2 linked regions of the Notamacropus eugenii genome follow. The protein of the gene in region 2 binds, or shares a complex with, the protein of the main gene of each other region. Links are inferred from orthologs where the notes say so. Each region holds a gene or a part of one and is shown on either strand. Other genes may lie near its edges. The genes, in order: ACSS1 and SIRT3.

Region 1 (9,534 bases), on a different chromosome or scaffold from region 2:
CAGGATTCTATCATATTCATATACCATAACTTGTTTAGCTATTCCCCACTTGATGGGTACCTCCTGATTTTCCAACTGTCACCACAGAAAGAGCAGCTATAAATATTTTTTTACATATGGGTCCTTTTCTTCTTTCTTTAATTTCTTTCAAGTAATAGAAGTTGTATTGCTGGATCAAAAGACCTGAACATTTTGATAGATTTTTGGGCATAGTTCCAAATTGCTTTCCAGAATGGCTAGACCATTTCATAGCTCCACTAAGAATGTACCTGTTTTTGTTTTAGCATTTGTCAGTTTCCTTTTTTTTGCCCAACCATGCCAATCTGATGAGTATGCAATAAAACTATAGCATTCTTTCGATTTAAATTTTTCTAATTATTGGTGAGACAGAGTACTTTTTATGTGGCTATTAATAACTTGAATTTCTCCCTCTGAAAACTGCCTGCTTATATCTTTTGAACATTTATCAATTGGGAAGTAGTTCTCATTCTTATCAATTTCCACCAGTTTTCTACAAATCTTAGAAATGAGATGTTTATCAGAGAAATTTGCTGCAAAGATTCCCCTCCCTCATACCTGTTCTCTTCTAATTATAGCTGCATTGATTTTGTTTGTACAAAGCCTTTTTTAATGTTATGTAATCAGAATCGTATATTTTCCCTTCTGCGATCCTCTATCTCATTTGGCTGTGAAACCTTCCTTTGTACATGTGACCTATAATTTTATCTTTTTTTCCTCTAATTTACTTATAATGTCCTTTAAGTCATAAACCTAGTTGGAGCTTATCTTGGCATATGGTGTGAGATGTTGGTCTAAATCTAGGTACTGCCAAACTGCTTTCCAGTTTTTCCAATAGTTTTTGTTGAATAGTGAGTTCTTGCCCTAGTAGCTGGGATCTTTGGATTTATCAAACACTAGGCTATTGTGCTAATTGGTTTTTAATACTATGTAGCTAATCTGTCTTACTGATCAACCTCTCTATTTCCTAACCAGTCCCTAATTCTTTTGATGATTAATGCTTTGTAGAGTAATTAGAGACCTGGGACTGCTAGACCCCTTTCATCCTTCTCCTTTTCATTGATTCCCTTGTGATTCTTGATGCTTTATCCTCCTGATGGATTTTATTATTTTTTTCTAGTTTTATAAAGCATATAAATCCTTTAGTAATATGATTGGTCTGGTACCAAATAAGGAAATTGATTTAGGTATTAGTATAATTTTTATTATATCAGCGTGGCCTACCAATGAGCAATTAATGTTTCTACAATTATTTAGATCTGTTTTTATTTATATAAAGAATATTTTATAGTTGTATTCATATGATTCCTGTGTGGTTTTTAAGTTAATTTACCAAAAACTCTTGCTTTGTCTCTTCTAGCAATTCAGGCCAGATTTGTGCCCAAGCTTTATTTTGTTTAGGCTTTGCTTGTAGATGTTCGGGAGTCATTATCTTCTACTGGGTTTGTATCTTGAGCATCCCTGTCAACATAACAGATTTTTTTTGGGTGACATTCTTTTCATGTTTATTCATTCTTCTAGTCTACTTCCTGTTAGGGCCAGGTTCTATACACTTCTGAGGGGAATGTCTTGGTTAAGCTTTTGTCTTCTTGGGGTCTACTTCTATTTTTTTATGATATTGAGTGTTGTATGTATCCAGGATCTCAGGAATAGTTCTGGTTGAGTACCTGCAGGTTTTAAGTGCTTCGAAAGTTCTGTACTTCAGAGTAAAGTCTGATCACTGTTTTCTAGTTTGAGCTCTGCAAACTCTTGCCCTGGGTTTGGATCTATATAATATTCCTTTTGTTTTGCCCCTGGTTGGTACATTCAGCAGATTGCTTCTGGACTTAGTCACTATCTAAGTGACTAGCTGGAAAGTTCTGAGATTCTGATCCTGATCATGCCTCTGTAGGCTTAAGACTGACCTTGAATTTGGCATTGAGACTGTGCTCTTCTCTTGGGGTCATTAGCCACACAGCTACTAATTGCTACTGATCTTTTTCCTTGCTCAGTACACAAACTAGGTCATGAGATGTCTCTTTACCCTGGAATCCCACCACTATGTGCAAGTCATTTTCTCAGTCCATCCTGGATTTGTGATCAGGAACTGGGGAGTGAGTGACAGAGCTGCTAGTTGCCACCTCTTCCCATATCTTATACAAGAGCACAATGCCCCATCATGACTCTAGGACCTCTCCTTGCTCTTTGGCACAGTCCTTATGGCTTGTCCCTAGTGTCCACAGACAACTTTATCTGTCTCCCTATGCTATTCAAGCTGGAAAAAATGACTCATTATGAATTTTTTTGTCTTGAATTTTCCAGTCAGGACTCAGTTTGATGCATTTATTGCATCTTTGTGGAGGAGTGGGGAAACGCTCAGCTCTTCTTTTTTCTTCTACTCTGACATTTAGGCTCCGCTCATTTATTTCTCTTAAAAGTATCCCCATCTTTCTAGCTCAGGTTTGCAAAGAGTAAAGCCATCTTTTTTTCTTTTCTCTCCAGCACACTCATCTAATCAGCTGTAAGTCTTCTCTTCCATTTGTCCACTTCTCTGTCTCATGCAGCCACTATCTTAATTCAGGCCCTCATTCCTTCCACCTGGAACAATTGCAATAGCTTCTTAATAGATTTGTCTGTAATAACTTAAGCCCTAACTCAATGGTTCATAGGGTCATAGATCCAAAGCTGACGGAGACCTCAAAGGTTTTCTAGTCTGAATCCTTTATTTTACAAATGAGGAAATTGAGGCCTAGGTGGTATTAGAACAAGGTCCATGCTCCTAGTTTCTCCCTTCTCCTCTTTACCCTCTCCACAGCTGCCAAATTCGTTTCCTTGCTGCACAGGTGTGACTATATCACTCCTTTGTTTAAAAACTTTCAGAAGACCCTAGGATAAAATAATACTGCTCAGCTTTGTGTCTATAATTTGATTTCTGCCTAATCTTTCCAAACATGGCATTGTACCCCCTGCACACTCCCCTCAGTTGACACCTGTTCCCACAGGTTTTTATTTTTTCTGCTTTTCCTTTTAATCCCTTCTTGACCTGGTATGGGAACAGATTTTATCTAATGGTATATTCCTGCCTGGAGGCAGGAGGGTGAAAAACATCTGAGGTTCTTAATCTGGGGTCCTTGAACTTAAATTTTTTTTTTGATAACTGCATTTCAATATAATTGTTTTCCTTTATTAATCTTATATACTTTATTTTATGCAATTAAAAACATTATTCTGAGAAAGGGTCCATAGGCTTCACCAGACCACCAGCGGGTTCCATCCATGGCAGAGGTTGAGAGCCCTTGACTAGAAGAATTCATGATTCCTTATAGTTCTCAGATCTTATAATTTTATAGGTGAATCCAGTAGAGTAGAGATCATTATGAAACTGGGATAATTTAAGAAATCTGGAATCCTTAAAAACATGAATAGAGGCATTTGTAGTGAGTGTTCCTTTCTTATATCCTTCCTCGAAATTGCCCTCTTAGGTTGTAGTAAGGGAGTAAGGTCTATAGAGGAGATCATGATAGAGGGGATTAGGAACTATGTAATGCGTCCTCAGCCAAATTCCTATTTCTCATTTCTGGGTCCTGCACCAACAACCACTGAATTAAGGGCAGCCTCCCCAAAATGTCATAAAGTAATGGCAAATTGGTTTTCTGCTCTTATCTTTTCTCCTTTTTAAAGAATTTATGGGAAAACTGAAGCCAGGAAAAGTGAAGTGAGTTAACTAAGACTGACAAGTCATTGTCAGGAACTGGGTTAGAATTCCAGCGTCCTCTATATTGATTCATTTGCCAATGTTGTCTCTTGAACTGAAGGCCAGGAATAATTTCTTTGAATGAGAGAATCTTAGAGTTGCAAGGGACTTGAAAGGGCATCTTGTTCAGTCTTCCAACCCATACCAAAATCTCCTTTACAATATCACTGATAGGTGATCACTCAGTCTTCGCTTAGTTGGACATTTCATGGAACTCATCACCTTCTAAATGTCCATGGCTGGACAGCTCTTTTTGTTAGAAAGATTACTTCCAAGAACGTTTGACTACCTGGTGAGTAGTTAGATGATTCAATCTCTACCACTTTATGCTGGCATCTCTGTTTGTGACTACATTTAGCTTGTAGTACTTTGTTGGCAAAATAGAGCAGTAGGGGAAATATTCAGAGAATTTTCAATCTGAAAAAAACTATATGTAAAGAGTTTATATTTAGTTGTTTACTTGATGACATATATTTCTCCACATCACCAAGGTTCAACATTTCCATAAACATTTATTTCATATCCTAATTATGCAAGGTGAGGTACTTGGCCCTGGGATTTAAAGACAAAAGCCAAAGTCCTGGAGGAGTTTACCATTCTACTGGAGAGATTTAACATATACAGATAAGTAAATTCAAGGGAATTTCAGAAAGGGAAAGAGCATTAACAAATGGGGAGGCATCAGAGAACGCTTCCAAGAGAAGATGGCACCTGAATTGAGCCTTGAAGTAACAGAAGGAATCTTTTAGGGAGGAAAGGACTGCATTTCAAGTAGGAGGGATAGCTGGAAGAGACAAAGAAACAGGAGATGGGATACTGAGTATGTCAAGAGGAATATTATTAACTAAGGCTGAAAGAGTAGGTCAGTGAGTTGTGGATGGTCTTAGCTTGAGGGCTAGAGAGCTTTTGAAAGTTTTGGGACAGAAAAGTGATGCCTGTGCATTTGGATGATTAAGATGGCAGCTGAGTGGAGAATGGATTAGAGAGGGGAAACACTGGAAGCAGGAACCACCCACCCCCAGGGGAGCAAGGGCAATAAGCATTCTCTTTCTGTCTCTTTCTCTGTCTATCTGTTTATCTCTCTCTGTCTCTGTCTTTTTCTCTCCATCCCTACAATCGTCCCCTTAAAGACAGATATAGTGGAAAGAGCACTGGATTCATGTAGTTATGGGCTCAAAGTCCAATTCATTTACTTTATCAATTTTGTGACCTTGAAAGAAGACACTCACCAATTCTTTGGACTTCCATAGCTTTGTGACTTTGAACAAATCATCATCTTTCTGGACTTCCATTTTGGACTAAAGGATTCCTAAGGTGTCTCCTACATCTAAGATTGTATGAGATCCAGATAATAGCCTTATTTTGGTAGGCTCAAGAACAACCTATAAAATGAAATCAAAGCAAAACTTCAACTTGACATTCCACAAGACTGCCTTCATCACCTCCAAGCAGCAGGTACTGAGGACTGCCTCTCAGAACCTCGATGATCTCGAAGCCCTAAATTCTCCTCCTCCTGCGATCATATCCTCCCCTAATTCCCTCCTCCCCCCAAGATGACAGAAGGAAAGGTGGTGGGGAGGGGGAAAGATAACTGAACTTGGGGAGGTGGGCTCCAGAAGAATAAGGGACCTGACGAGGAGGTGGGAGTCAGGAGGAGGGAAGGAGAGAGCCACTACCAGGCCCCCTCCAGTTTACCACTACAGAGGAAATGGGGAGCTAAACGTCTTCTTTCTCTTTCTCACACTATCTCTCTCTCTCCTCCTTCCCCCCCACCCCCCACCCCGCCCTTCCCCGAAGAACTGGCAGTTGGGAGGGACTAAGAAGAGTGGGAGGAGCCCGTTATTGGCTCCGGTCCCCGCCTCGCTGAGTTCCTCTAGTTTTTGCGTTGGAAGTGCAGCCGTCTTAGGGTGCTGTGCCAGGATCCGAGGGGCCCCAGGAAAGCCGGGTCTGGGGGTGGCTAAACGCTATGACTGCTCTGAGCCTGTGCACCTCCGGCAGCGGTGGGGGCCGTGGACTGCTCCGCAAACTGTGCGGGAGCTTCTGGGTGCTGCCAGGATGCGGGGGGTCGAGAAGCTGGGGGCCGGGGCTGCCCCTGCAGCTACATCGCCGGTTCCTGGGCGGCCACGGTCCGGGCCTCTGGGCTGCCGGAAAAGGGGCCGGCAGCGCCGCCCCAGCGGTGTCAAGGAAACTCAGCACCTACGCGAAGCTGTGGGAACAAGCTGTCAAAGAGCCCCAAGTGTTTTGGGGGCGCCTTGCCCAGCACACGCTGGTGTGGGACACCCCTTACCATACCGTCGAGGACTGTGATTTCAACCAGGGCAAGATTAGCTGGTTCCTGGGCGGCCAGTTAAACGTGTCGGGTAAGGCTAAGGATGGGGGTTGGCATTTGGGGGAAGGGGTGAGGTAACAGGAACTATTCCTTCTCCCCATTTCTCCCATCATTTTAGTTTTTACTTGAACCCACAACCAGTCCATTCCTACATTTTGCCCTAGCAACCTTGGTCACCTGCTCCCTAGCAACCCTTACAACCTGGCCACAATTTCCTCGGTAATCTGGACACTTCTAGCAATTTGGCCAACAAATTCATAGCCCCCCTCCCCCCCCCCCCGGCAACATCCGCATCCTCTCCATGAAACCCTTCGGGGGGTCCCTATTTCCTTCGACTTTCTCTCCACTTTTACCTCATTTATCCTTAACAGTCTCTAGCAAAGTCAGGAGCCACGTCACCTTATCACTGCAAACTATAGATCCTCCCACAAAGCCCCTAAGAACCTCTAGGGCACGAGGGAGCTCTGACAGCTCCTGACCATTGTCACCTCCTCTGTGCACTCACGCGCCCTCTCCCCACCCCCACTCCACCCCAGAATGCTGCTTTCCTGCCAGCTATGTGGGGCGGGTTGAGAGCGCGAGTCCTTCCAGCTGCTGTCCAGGATGACAGGTTTGGGAGACTGTTAGAGGACGCTTTTTTCTTCCCTAGAGTTACCTTGTACTTACCCTTACGTTCTGGGCTGGCTAGGTGGGGGATCAGTTTGCACTGGGCAGCTAGCTGGGACCTGCGGACTCGAATGGACAACCCAGGGAGTTACATCCCCGCCCTGGTTCCGTCTTTTGTCTTACCCCTCACCCAGCAACTCCTCGCAACTCTCTGTTCCCTTTGTGTCCGTGTTATAAGTTTGAGCTAGGAAGAGCCCTTGACTCCGTTCTCCTAGGATCTAGACAGTTCCCTCTCCTCCTTTTCTTTTTCATTTCGCCCCTGGGATGCAAGCTAGTAAATAAACTCCGAATAAAACTCCTTAGTGAAAACGAAACGACTTCTGTAGTCTTGTAGCTGGCCTGCCTTACGGGCTGTCCCACAGCACCCAGACGTATCACTCAGGCCCCGGGGAGCCATTGGCGGCTGGAGGAGTTGCCTAAGTATTAACTCTGCCCACGTAAACAAACAATACATGCTTCCTTGTAGAGTGCAAAGAAGAGGTGAAGAAGAGAGGAAAATCCTTGGTCAATGAGCAGAGCAAACTTAAACAAAAATATATCCTTGCTCAGACAATGTTTTACTGGCTGAGACGAGGTTCCTCAGCCTTCTAGGCAACTCTGATAATTATCTTCAGGATAAGGTCGTCTGTGCATTTCAACCTCCTAAGAGGTATGCCTACTTCGTTTTCAAGGCCAGTAATATCTAAGATTTGACACTGGTGATGAGTCTTCAGTAACAGAGTCTTAAACCCTTTATTTCTAAGTTTCAAACACTGAAATCAGCTGAATCAATCAATCCACAAATATAGTCTCAGCCTTTAGAATGTATCAGGTATAGGATTAGGCATTTTATAGGGGAATAGAAAGTCATAGGCAAGTTCCAAGCCATCAAGGAACATATCATTCAGCCAGGAGAGAAGATATACACATGAAAAAAGAACTCAAAATCCAGGAAAGTAAGTGTGGTATACTAGAAAAAGCATTGAATCTAAAATAAGAGAATCTGAGTTTGAGTCCTGGCTCTGTCACTTACTAAGTAACAAGTCAAATCATTTCCCATCGTTGAGCCTGTTCCATTTTTTGAAAAAGGAAAGATTGGACAAGACGATCCCTAAGGTCCATTCCAGGCCTAGATTCTATGATTCCCCCAGAAATACCAAATGAAAGATATTGCCAAATTCAGTAATTTGCCACCCTGCTCCCTTCCCCCCATCCTTTACCTTTAGCCTCTCTGTAGCATTTAATGCCCTTGACTGTTCTTTCTTTCTGGATATTCTTGCTCTCTTGCTTTCTAACAACATAAAGAAGACAGATTCTTATCTACAGGTATATTCTTGCATAGGGACTGGAAGCTGAGCTAGATCAGTTGCTTGTTTCTCCTGTTACATTTCTTGTGGTCCCTTCTTTGTTTCCTTGCTCCTCTTTTACACCCGTTAATACTGGTGTTCCCCAATGATCTCTCCTTGCTTCTCTTGCCTTTACTCTTTACCAGTTCTTCTCATCAATATCATTGTTCCTACAGCTTTTACCATCATTTCTACACAGATGACTCCTAAATCTGTGTCTAAATCTACATTAGCTGTCTTCTCAGCTCCATACTTGAATCACCAATTACCTAACTTAAAAGGACATCTCCAACAGGATGATCATCTGGCACCTCAAACTCAACTAAACTGATCTTGTTTCCAAATTTGGCTCCCCCACCTCCCGAATTTGTCTGTTTATGTTCATATGACTAGTCTGTCCATCCAGTCACTCAGACTTATCTTGTAGCCATTAAAAAAATATTTTTTCTTCGCTCATTCATCAGTTGACTAGTCCCGTAGACTCAATTATCAATCTCTTCATTGATTCCTTCTCCTTCACCCGTAGGGCTTCTGACTTAACTCATCTCTTATTGCCTCAATTCTTTGGCTTTTAACTGCTCTTTCTGCTGCAGGTTTATTCCCTTTCTGATCAGCCCTTCATAATGTTGCCTAATGTACTGTTCTGATCATGTAAATCACCTCCTCAAAAAACTTCAGTGGCTCCCTTTTGCCTCTTAATAAGCATAAATTCCTGGTCCTATTTTAGTGTAGCCCACATTTTAGTTTAGTTTTTAACTTAAATGTTCAGGCTTATCTGTTCACATGCTTTGTGTTACATAGTTTTAGTCACACAGGATTACTGTATCTGAGCTCTTTCTCATCTTCGTCTTTCCTTTCCTCCTGTCTTTGCTCATAGCACCCACCTATACCTGAACTGGACTCCCCATGCTACCTTCCCCCCGTACATTTTTGGAGCTTTTATTCAAATGCTCTCCTTTTAAGGTCCAGCTTAGGAAGTTCAAGCAAAAAGTGATCTTTTCCTTTTCAAATTTCTCATGATGCTTTGCCTACACCTTTGGTTCATTTTTATTCCTTTATCCTTTGTATCATAGTGACCTGTATGCATGACTCCCCTTCTCATTGGACTATAAGTTCCTTGATGTCAGAGTCTAGGATGTATCTATCATTATTTCCTCTAGGATAGTGTCTTGCCCATTCACTATTTGTGAAATTGAATAAGCTCATCACATCTACAACTCTGGTTTTTTATTTCCCTCCCCCAAAATCTGCCCCTTCTTCTACTTTCATAATATATGTTAGTGAGAGGCATGAATATTTGCCCAATCTTTTGTTAACCCAGTATAAATCTTTAATTTAATTTAATAAATCTATTTTGCCTCCAGCATCAAATCATTGATAAGTCCTGACTATTTTGCCTCAATATCGCTCACATCCATCACTTCAGTGATATTCCTATTTCTACTACCTTAGTCCAAGGTCTC
Region 2 (9,635 bases):
ATAGTATTCCATTACATTCACATGCCACAACTTCTTCAGCCATTCCACAGTTGATGGGCATATCCTGAATTTTCAATTCTTCACCACAACAAAAAGAGCTGCTATAAAAGCTGTTATACAAATAGGACCTTTTCCTTTTCCTTTGATCTCTTTGTGATACAGACCTAGTAGTGGGATTGCTGAATCAAAGACTATGCACAGTTTGATAGCCCTTTAGGCATAGTTCACAACTCCACCAGCAATGCATTAGTGTTCCAATTATCCCACATCTTCTCCAACATTTATCATTTTTCTGTTTTGTCATGTTAGCCTATCTGATAGGTGTGGTGTGGTACCTCAGAGTTGTTTTGATTTACATTTCTCTAATCAATGATTTAGAATAGTCATTTTTCATATAACTAGATGGCTTTAATTTCTTCCTTTGAAAACTTCCTGTTTTTATCCTTTGATCATTTATCAAGTGGGGAATGACTTGTGTTCTTATAAATTTGATTCAGTTCTCTACATATTTTAGAAATGAGACCTTTATCACAGACACTGGTTGTAAAAATTCTTTCCCAGCTTTCTGCTTCCCTTCTAATCTTGGTTGCACTGGCTTTGTTTGTGCAAAAATTTTTCAATTTAATGTAATCAAGATCACCCAATTTACATTTCATAATCTTCTCTATCTCGTTTGGTAGTAAATTCCTCCCTTCTCTGTAGATCTGACAGGGAAACTATTCCTTGCTTTCCGAGTTTGTTTATGGAATCAGTTTTTATAACTAAATCAAGTGCCCATTTTGATTTCATCTTGATATAGGGTGTAAGATGTTGGTCTATGCCTAGTTTTTGCCATACTATTTTCCAGTAGTTTTTGTTAGCGAGTTCTTATTCCAGAAGCTGAAGTCTTTGGATTTATCAAATAGATTACTATAGTCATTGACTGTTGTGTCTTGCATACTTAACCTATTCCACTGATCCACCACTCTATTTCTTACCTAGTACCAAGTAGTTTGGATGACTGCTTCTTTATAATACAATTTAAGATCTGGTAAAGCTAGGCCATCTTCCCTTGCATTTCTTTTCATTAATTTCCTTGATATTCTGGATCTTTTCTTCTTTCAGATGAATTTTATGATTGTTATTTCTAGCACCATAAAATAATTTTTGGTAGTTTGACTGGCATGGCACTGAATAAGTAATTTAATTTTGGTAGAATTATCGTTTAAATTATATTAGCTCAGCCTCCCTATGAGCAACTGATATTTTTCCAATTATTTAGATCTGACTTTATTTGTGTGAAAAGTCTTTTATAATTCTGCTCATACAGTTCCTGGGATTGTTTTGGCAGGTAGATTCTCAAATATTTTGTAACGTCTACAATAACTTTAAATGGAACTTCTCTATCTCTTGCTACTGGTTTCTGTTAGTTACATATATGATTCTATGTGGGTTTATTTTACATTGTGCAACTTTGCTAAAATTGTCCATTCTTCAAGTAATTTTTTACTTGTTTCTCTAGGATTCTCTAAGTATACCATCATATCATCTGCAAAGAGTGATAGCTTTGTTTCTTCTTCGCCTGTTCTAATTCCTTCAATTTCTTGTTCTTCTCTTATTGCTAAAACCAACATTTCTAGTACAATATTGAAAAACCGCGATAATGGACATCCTTTTTTCACCCCTGATCTTTTGGGAAATGCTTCTAGCTTATCCCCATTACATGCAATACTTGCTGGTGGTTTTAGGTAGATGCTACCTACCATTTTAAGGAAGACTCCATTTACTCCTATGTTCTCTAGTTTTTAATAGGAATGGGTGCTGTATTTTGTCGAAAGCTTTTTCTGCATCTATTGCGCTAATCATATGATTTCTGTTAGTTTTGTGGTTGATATGGTCAATTATGCTGATAGTTTTCCCAATGTTGAACCAGCCCTGCATTCCTGGTAGAAAGTCTACCTGGTTACGACCAGGTGTGTTATCCTTGAGATAAGTTGCTATAATCTCTTTGCTAATATTTTATTTAAAATTTTTGCATCTATATTCATTAGGGAAATTAGTCTATGATTTCCTTTCTGTTTTGGCTCTCCCCAGTTTAGGAAATCAGCCCCATATTAAAAGTCTCCTTCAACTCTGTGATATCATGATTCCATGTATCTCCCAAGACCCGGATGTCTCCCACAATTCCTTCTTCTCGTCCTTCTAACTTTAATTAATAAGCCCTTATTAAGTTATTATGCACAAGGATTTGCATCCCTCCTTAAAACCTGCTCTCTGACACTATTTCCCAAACTCAAAGCTCTTATGTTCCCTCACCCCCTGGCACCCAGGGTACCTGCAGAAATGACCACCTAACTTTTGTTGCCAAGAGCTGGACACATTCACAGCTTCCCCTCTCAGGATCTTCTCTGGTAACACCTGCTCCCACAGAGAGATGCAGCTGGATCTGTGGAGAGCTCGGAGACTCCCCCAAACTCTGAAGACAGAGGGCTGTCCACACAGGCAGAGATACCTCCACCCTAAGGAAACAAGGATAGGAAAAGTCCAGCTGTTGACAGCATTCAACAGACTACTCAGTGGTGACAGGGTTGTGAGAAGACTGGCACATTAGCGCCCTCGGTGAGGCTTTGAATTGTTACAACCATTTTGGAATGCAGTTTGGAAATGTCCATTATCCCTTTGATCCAGGGATTTCAGGAGCCGGTCTATATCTCAGGAGGCTGTTGATAAGAAGAAAGTCCCACATGAACCCAGACGTTGGCGGCAGCCCTTTGGGTAATAGACACCCATCAACTAGGGACTGGCTGAACAAATCGTGGCACATGCCCGAATGAACGCAGACGGAAAGCCTGGCACGAAGGGAGGCGGAGCCAGGACCGCCCCACGACCCTGAGGAAGAGAAGACCCCTCTCCCCACACCCACGCCCACTGGCGCAGAGGCGGGGAACCCGGCATGCATTTCCCCACGTTTTCAGCGTTTTTGCTTCACTGACTCTTCCTTCTCCTCCTTTAAAAACACTTTGTCATAGGGAATGGTTCTCCGGGTGGGAGAGCAGGCGGCGTCCTGGGGATATCTGGGCTCCGAAGGAACAAAAGATCTTGGACACAGTTCCCTTCTAACCATCTCCCCGGCGAAGGGACCGGAGGCGCGGAGCCCCGGCAGCCCGGTCTGGGGAGGATTCCCCGGACTCCGGCGATCTTAGGGCGGGAGGCACAGACGCTCGTTAGCGCGCCTCTCGGCGGGCAAGGTCCCTAGGGAACCTGCCACTTAGAGGAGGCACGAAGTTTGCACGGGTCACTGCGTAGTCAGACGGGTGCCCAGCATGTCCGCTAGGTCTGGCCGGGCCAGGGAGCGCTTAAGAAGTGGTCAGTTCTTCGGAGAAAACGCCCTCTGGGTATCCGCCGGGCAGGCAGCGGGGAATGAGCAAAGAGGGGCCACGTGCAGGTGCGGCTTCAGGCCGCCAACCGAGGTCAGGGCTGACCAGGGTCAATCAGGCTTCTCTCATCGATGTCCTGGCAGGAAGGAGTGATGGAAAGGGGGCTCAGGCACGCAGGAACGTCCCACGACCCAGCGCACAGCAGGGGGCAGGCATGGTTCCTGCCGGGGCGGGAGGGACACTGCCCGAGATAAGAGATTGGGGGCTAGACAGAAACGCGACTTCGGAATCGGGGTCCGAACACACGCACCCAAGCCCGCCTCAGCGCCCCCTTCGCCCATTTCCTCGGCCCGGGACGTCCCGCACCCCTGGGGGCCGGGCCCGGCAGCTCACCCGCCCAGCCCCCACCCCAGGCGCGCGCCCAGCCCGCAGAGGTCACTGGAGCCCCTCCTCCGCCCCCGCCGGGGTCCGGCCTCGGGCACGCGCACGCACGTCGGGACGCTCACCGCGCGCTGCCGCGGCCCTTCCTCGCGCGGGCCCCAGCGCCGCACCCAGGGCGGTCCAGGCGGCGGCGCAGCCCGGCCCCATCGCCCCGACTCCCTCGGGGAGGACGGAGGAAGCGAGCGCCGCTCCCGACCTGCACCGGGGCCGGAAGTGGGTGAGGGCGCGTGCGCCCTGCCGGAAGTGAGCGTGCAGACGCCGGACGTGTGCGGGTGTGCGCCGGAAGTGAGTGTGCGGACACCGGAAGTGAGTGTGCGTTTCCGTCGGCCCCTCCGTCGGCGCCGGTCGCTGCTCCGGAGTCCCGCGCGCGTTCTCCGCGTCCGTCCCGGATCCGCCGTCGCTATGAAGGACGTGCCGGGCTTCCTGCAGCAGAGCCAGAGCGCCGGGCCCGGCCAGGCCGCCGTGTGGCACCGCCTGGAGGAGCTCTACACCAAGAAGTGAGGGGCGCGGGGGAGGGGGAGGGGCCGGCCCGGGATCCTGCCCGCTCCCCTCCCCCCCGGGGGGCGCTGAGGGTCCTCTTGTCTCCCAGGTTATGGCACCAGCTCACGCTCCAGATCCTGGACTTCGTGCAGGATCCCTGCTTCGCCCAGGGCGACGGGCTCATCAAGGTGAGCGGGGGGCCGGCTCCCCAAGTCCTGGGGGTCCCTGCGGGGCCGGGGCCTGGCAGCCTCTCCGTCCTTGGCAGCGCGGGGTCATCCCTGCCCTCTGTCCTTGAGCTCGGACGGCTTCGGGAACAGTTCCTTCCCCTGCGTGTTGGCAGCTCCGCGCTGCCTCCGTCGCTCGTCTCTCTCGGGCAGTAGCCCTTATCAGAGGCTCCTTCCCCACTTGGGTCCCTTTAGTTCTGATTGCGTTTCTTTGGTGCGTGTGAGAGCTCTCCAGCCTTTTGGCCCCTTTATCCTCCGTGCCCTCTGACCTCTGACGTCCCTCCGTGGCACGCGGTGTAAGGGATGTGCCAGGGACGTGCCAGGCTGCTCCCGGCTTCAGACACGCGGCCCCTCTGGGCGCGCACCCATCCCTGTTCTCTGGCGGACCCGAGGGTCTTTCCGGCCCGTCTCCCGCTGGGCTGGTGGCCGTCTCCTGCTCCCGTTCCCGGGTGCGTCGCTCTCCTTCCCCCCACGGGCCCCGACTCTGGCAGGGCCCCCCGAGGGGCGCGGGTGGCCTTGGCCGGCGGGCCCCGACTCTGGCGGTGCCCCCCGAGGGGCGCGGGTGGCCTTGGCCGGTGGGCAGTGCCCCCCGAGGGGCGCGGGTGGCCTTGGCCGGTGGGCAGTGCCCCCCGAGGGGCGCGGGTGGCCTTGGCCGGTGGGCAGTGCCCCCCGAGGGGCGCGGGTGGCCTTGGCCGGTGCGCCCCGACTCTGGCGGTGCCCCCCGAGGGGCGCGGGTGGCCTTGGCCGGCGGGCGCTGCTGGCTGCCCTGCAGGTCCGCTAGCCCTTGGGACGGCTTTTTTGTCCGGACCGCGTCCTGCCCGTCCGCAGCGAGGCGCACTTGGTTGTCCGGTCCGTTGGTCAGCCTTTGAGAGCTTTTCCTGGTGTGTACGAAGGCTTTTTCAGATGCGGCCAGCCGAGCCAGAACTCCTTTCCTGGGCACCGATGACATCATCGGATAATTACAGCTTGGGTGGTTTTAGCTCAGACGCCTGATATCGTATTTGCCCGTAGTTCAGCTGATCTCCCTCGGTCTCGTGGGAGCTTCCTGCCCTTTTGTGCCCATCTGTTGGGCACTGTGCTGAGCTTCTTGGGCACTTGGCGATCTACCTCTTCCAAACAGGTAGCCAGTTCTGGACTCCGTAGGGCCTCAAGTATTAAGGTTTCTTTCTGTGAAACATCCTCTTGCTTTTATTTCTCGTCTCTGTCCCTTCAAACTCTCTCTGGAGAAGCTTTGGCTTTCTGGGTTCCTTTACTAGCTCCAGTTTCTCTGAATGTTGGCTTTTGCTTTGCTTTGTTTTAATTCAGGGCTCACAAGCTGTATTGCTTATTTTAAGCAGCAGCTCCTTAAGAGGCGTTAATAAATCTGAAATTCACTAAAAAATCGTTAGGAGGAACAGAAAGTCTTAAGTTTCTGGATTTGGTGCGTGTTTCGTAATGTAATTTCACATGTTAAAGCAGGAATGCATCCGAAGATTTGGAATTGATCCTTGCAGGAGACCGATGTAAAAGCAAGGGGTTGGTTGGGCTAACATATGCTGCTCCTAGCCCTCCCTCTGTCCTGTCTTTGCAGGGTTAGGGATAACACAGAAGCGTTCTTTCGTTTGCTAGCAGTCATTTAGGTTTCTGACGCAGAAAGTAACACCAGAGGTGTCTGTATAAGAACCTGGCAAGGATACCACTCATGCAGTGCGTATGTAGTGGGGAATATGCTCCCCCAAGCTAACAATCCCATCTGGGTCTCATCCAGGCCTGGAGGTGACCATGGCTCCTTTCCCTTGACTCCAGCCTCCTTCTCTCACCACTCGGCTTTACTCAGCCCCTTTGTAGGGCTGAGCTCCTTCAGTCTCCCTAGACACTGAGAAAATGTTGCCCTTGACGTGTTCGCTGATCTAATTCTTGCCATGTGCGTGGTGTGAGTGTTGGGTATGAAGCCCCTGCCGATCACAGTGGGGTTCCAGCAGAAGGATAACTGATATCCCAACTGGGTGCTTTTTTACCCACAGAATCCCATGTCCCCCGTACACAGACATCACAGAATGCACACTTCCTCCTGGCTCCTCCTCAGCCTTTCAGAATAGTCTAGCATGTTTCCTCTCCCTCCTTACAATTTGGACATTTCTGTTGTCATGGTTGCCTCTGACTTGGTACTATGGTGGCTTTTGAGGGAACACATCTGCCTGTCGCCTCACGTTTGCTGCTCCCAAGATTCTTCCTACTGTGTCCTTGCATAAAATGCTTGTACAGTCAACAAATGGAGAGAGTCCCAAAGGTCGGCCATAGTTCCCAAGCATGCCTGGGATCAGCCCTGGCCACACACCACCCCCTGAAACGTAAGGACGCCACTGTTCCTCGGTGGGGGGGAGGGGGGAGTCTCATATTGAGGCCATTCAGGATGGCACTGCTAGCTCAAATTTTTGTTTAGGAACTGTCTGGTTGTGTGGCATTGTGCATCTCCTGGGCCATGTCTCTAGTGTCTTTCCCACCCCGAACTTGAGAATAAGAACTAGATTTGGCTCAGGAGGGGTCTGCAGGATAATTCAGGGTGGAATTGGCCTGATTTAATGGATTCCATTTCTTTATTCCTGCAGCTCTATGAAAACTTCATCAGTGAGTTTGAGCACAGGTACATACTCTTGTTTATCACTTACCTTCTGCATTTGCACATTGTTGAAATTTTAAATCCAGGTGATCTTTCCATTTCAGGGTGAATCCTCTGTCCTTGGTGGAAATCATTCTCCATGTAGTTAGACAGATGACAGGTGAGCATTAATTTCACAAAGAAGGAACCCCAAAGGGTAAAGATACTGTAGGCCAAGTTCATGGGCCTTACTACGTTACCAATTTAAAGAGCCTCATGCCGGCCTGATGTGCCCATTGGTGCCTCTTCTGACTTCATACCTTTTTATTTACTCCAGATCCTAATGTTGCTCTTACGTTTCTGGAAAAGACTAGGGAAAAGGTAGGTTTGCCATTTTAGCTGCACCTTTCCTTGCTAGAGCAGCCCCCCACTTGGGCTGCCCACGGCTCCCTGGTTCACTCCTAATTGTGTTGCCTTGTGCACATGGAGACTGTAGGAAGGCAGGAGCTTTTTCCTGGTAGTTTCTCAGTTTTTGTCACCCGCTTCTCTGGTTTCTGATCTTTCTCTTTCTCCTTTTGGCAACTTCAGGTAAAAAGCAGTGATGAGGCAGTAATCCTGTGTAAAACTGCCATAGGTGCTCTCAAACTGAACATTGGAGACCTCCAGGTGACCAAGGTGAGGGCAGGGGACCAGTTGTTGGTGCCTGAGGGGTCCTAGCTTGGAGAGGTTGTTTGACCTGGAGACTTAAGAAGCTCATCCATCTGCCCCATCCCCTTCCCCAGTTGATCTGGAGCACAGTCAGCGTCTAACAGCCAGCTGACTGGCAAAGGAAACCAGATGCTTAACCATTCTTGTTGTGTTAGGAGAGCAGAGGATTGGGAGCTAACACCCAGAGACTCCCAGATTGATCAGGACTTGGCACAAGAGCCTTAGGTCACATTTGGGGTGGGATTGAACAATCTGTTTGCTCCCTTTAGAGTAATGACACGTAAGTCAGTGAAGAGGTGGAGCGTGTGTGTCCATTCCAGGCCACACGACCTCATTATCTCCAGACCTTAGATAAGATAGACAGGGCTACCCCTTCTTAGGGGAAGGCAGAGCTTTAGCCCCAAAGGAAACAGAAGACTCAGCCATGTCCAGCAAGCAGAGGAGGCATTTGCTGGCCTGTCTGGTATCCTCTGCCCCCATGGTCCTGGGGCTCTTTTCTTTCGTTCCTGGGATTGGGGGAAGGAATGTCCGACAGCCATGTACCCAGGACACTCTAAGGTGGCTTCCTATCCATGTGCAGGAGACAATTGAAGACGTGGAAGAGCTACTTAATAACCTTCCGGGTGTGACATCTGTACACAGTCGTTTCTATGACCTTTCCAGCAAGTACTATCAGACCATTGGAAACCATGCATCCTACTACAAGGATGCCCTGCGCTTTCTGGGCTGTATTGATGTAAAGGACCTGCCAGGTAACCCAACGTGAGGTTGCTGGGTGGTGGCGGGCACACTCACTGTGTCTCCTACTCAAGTGTCTGGGGCAGTGAATTCATCTGAAAATGGAGGGCGGTCAGGTGGTCAGAAACTGAGCCAGTGAGGAAGAAGGCTGCTCGAGGCACCTCCACAGCTTCAGGAATGGCAGGAGAGGGATAAGAAGCCTGGCTGTTCACCCTCTACAGGCTAAAGGCTTGGGCCCCAACTCTGCTGCTTCCTGCTTCTCAGCCTCTAAGGATCCTTCTGGACCTGTGATCTAGATCTGAGAACACCCAAGACCACAGTAGGGATGCCCTTGTTTCTTCTCCAGAGAGAGAAGGGCTGCTCACACAGCTAAGGAGATAAGGAGGCTGCTGTTGGGGGGGTTGGAATCAAAAAGGTGCCCTTCATTGGGTAGGGCGAGGGCAGGAAGGGAGCTGGATCGAGAACCAGGAGAAGAAAAGTAGGAGAGAAACCATGAAACCTGGAGAGAATTTGGGGCAAGTGCAATTCAACAGTCCTTCATTCCCTAACCCTAAAATGGCTTTTTATTTGTGCTGGGTGCTGAGGGCAAGAGAACATTTAGAAAAGATATTATCCCTTGAGGCGTCAGGTTAGATAGGAATGTGGTCCACATCTGCAGAGACTCTCAAAGGATCTCTGTGACCTCCTAGCTCTTCAGCCTCCCTTTGGCTGTCAGGTCACAGCCTGTTGTCTGTGGGTCACTCTGTGTTCTGGGCAGTCTCCCCAGTGATGACTTGTGTTCTTGCCCTGCATCAAGTCCAGTCGAAAAGCATTAGATTAAGTGCCTACTAAGTGCCAAGCACTGGGCCAAACCCTGGGGATACCCCTGACTTCAAGGGGCCCACAGTCTAATGGGGAGATAATGAACAGCCACAGGAAGTTAAGACCTGAAGGCTTCCTGTGGCACTTTGGGTCATCTGCCCCCAGCATGTAGATTTGATTCTCCAGAGGTCAAATTCACAGCCATAGTGTATCCCCAGCAGGGGCTAGGGATGAAACAAAAAGTTCTGCCATGTTTCCCAGGAGCAATCTTGTCTTCTTTCAGTTGTCCTCTGTAGTTTGGTCTTTGAT

What was found.
Region 1: the proteins of SIRT3 (region 2) and ACSS1 are in contact, whole or in part, in a crystal structure (PDB 3GLT), measured with the Homo sapiens proteins. The link is inferred for Notamacropus eugenii from reciprocal best matches to the Homo sapiens genes SIRT3 and ACSS1. Residues at the interface, in NP_036371.1 of Homo sapiens: Gly145, Ala146, Gly147, Thr150, Pro151, Asp156, Phe157, Arg158, Ser159, Glu177, Phe180, Gln228, Asn229, Ile230, His248, Ile291, Val292, Phe293, Phe294, Gly295, Glu296, Pro297, Leu298, Gly319, Thr320, Ser321, Leu322, Glu323, Val324, Glu325; in NP_115890.2 of Homo sapiens: Ser640, Gly641, Lys642, Val643, Met644, Arg645.

The regions. Positions count from the first base shown.
Region 1 is NC_092872.1:602,004,931-602,014,464, reverse strand, and holds the start of ACSS1 (acetyl-coenzyme A synthetase 2-like, mitochondrial), read left to right. Parts: upstream 1-5,616; 5' UTR 5,617-5,717; coding exon 5,718-6,111; intron 6,112-6,746; exon of another isoform or gene 6,747-6,896; intron 6,897-9,534. UniProt on the Homo sapiens protein: Catalyzes the synthesis of acetyl-CoA from short-chain fatty acids. Acetate is the preferred substrate. Can also utilize propionate with a much lower affinity. Provides acetyl-CoA that is utilized mainly for oxidation under ketogenic conditions.
Region 2 is NC_092873.1:28,143,856-28,153,490, reverse strand, and holds the start of SIRT3 (NAD-dependent protein deacetylase sirtuin-3, mitochondrial), read right to left. Parts: upstream 3,978-9,635; 5' UTR 3,945-3,977; coding exon 3,863-3,944; intron 3,493-3,862; exon of another isoform or gene 2,499-3,492; coding exon 2,315-2,498; intron 1-2,314. Other genes in the region: PSMD13 (26S proteasome non-ATPase regulatory subunit 13), read left to right, coding at 4,200-4,294, 4,387-4,465, 7,090-7,124, 7,205-7,260, 7,417-7,460, 7,668-7,754, 8,368-8,539.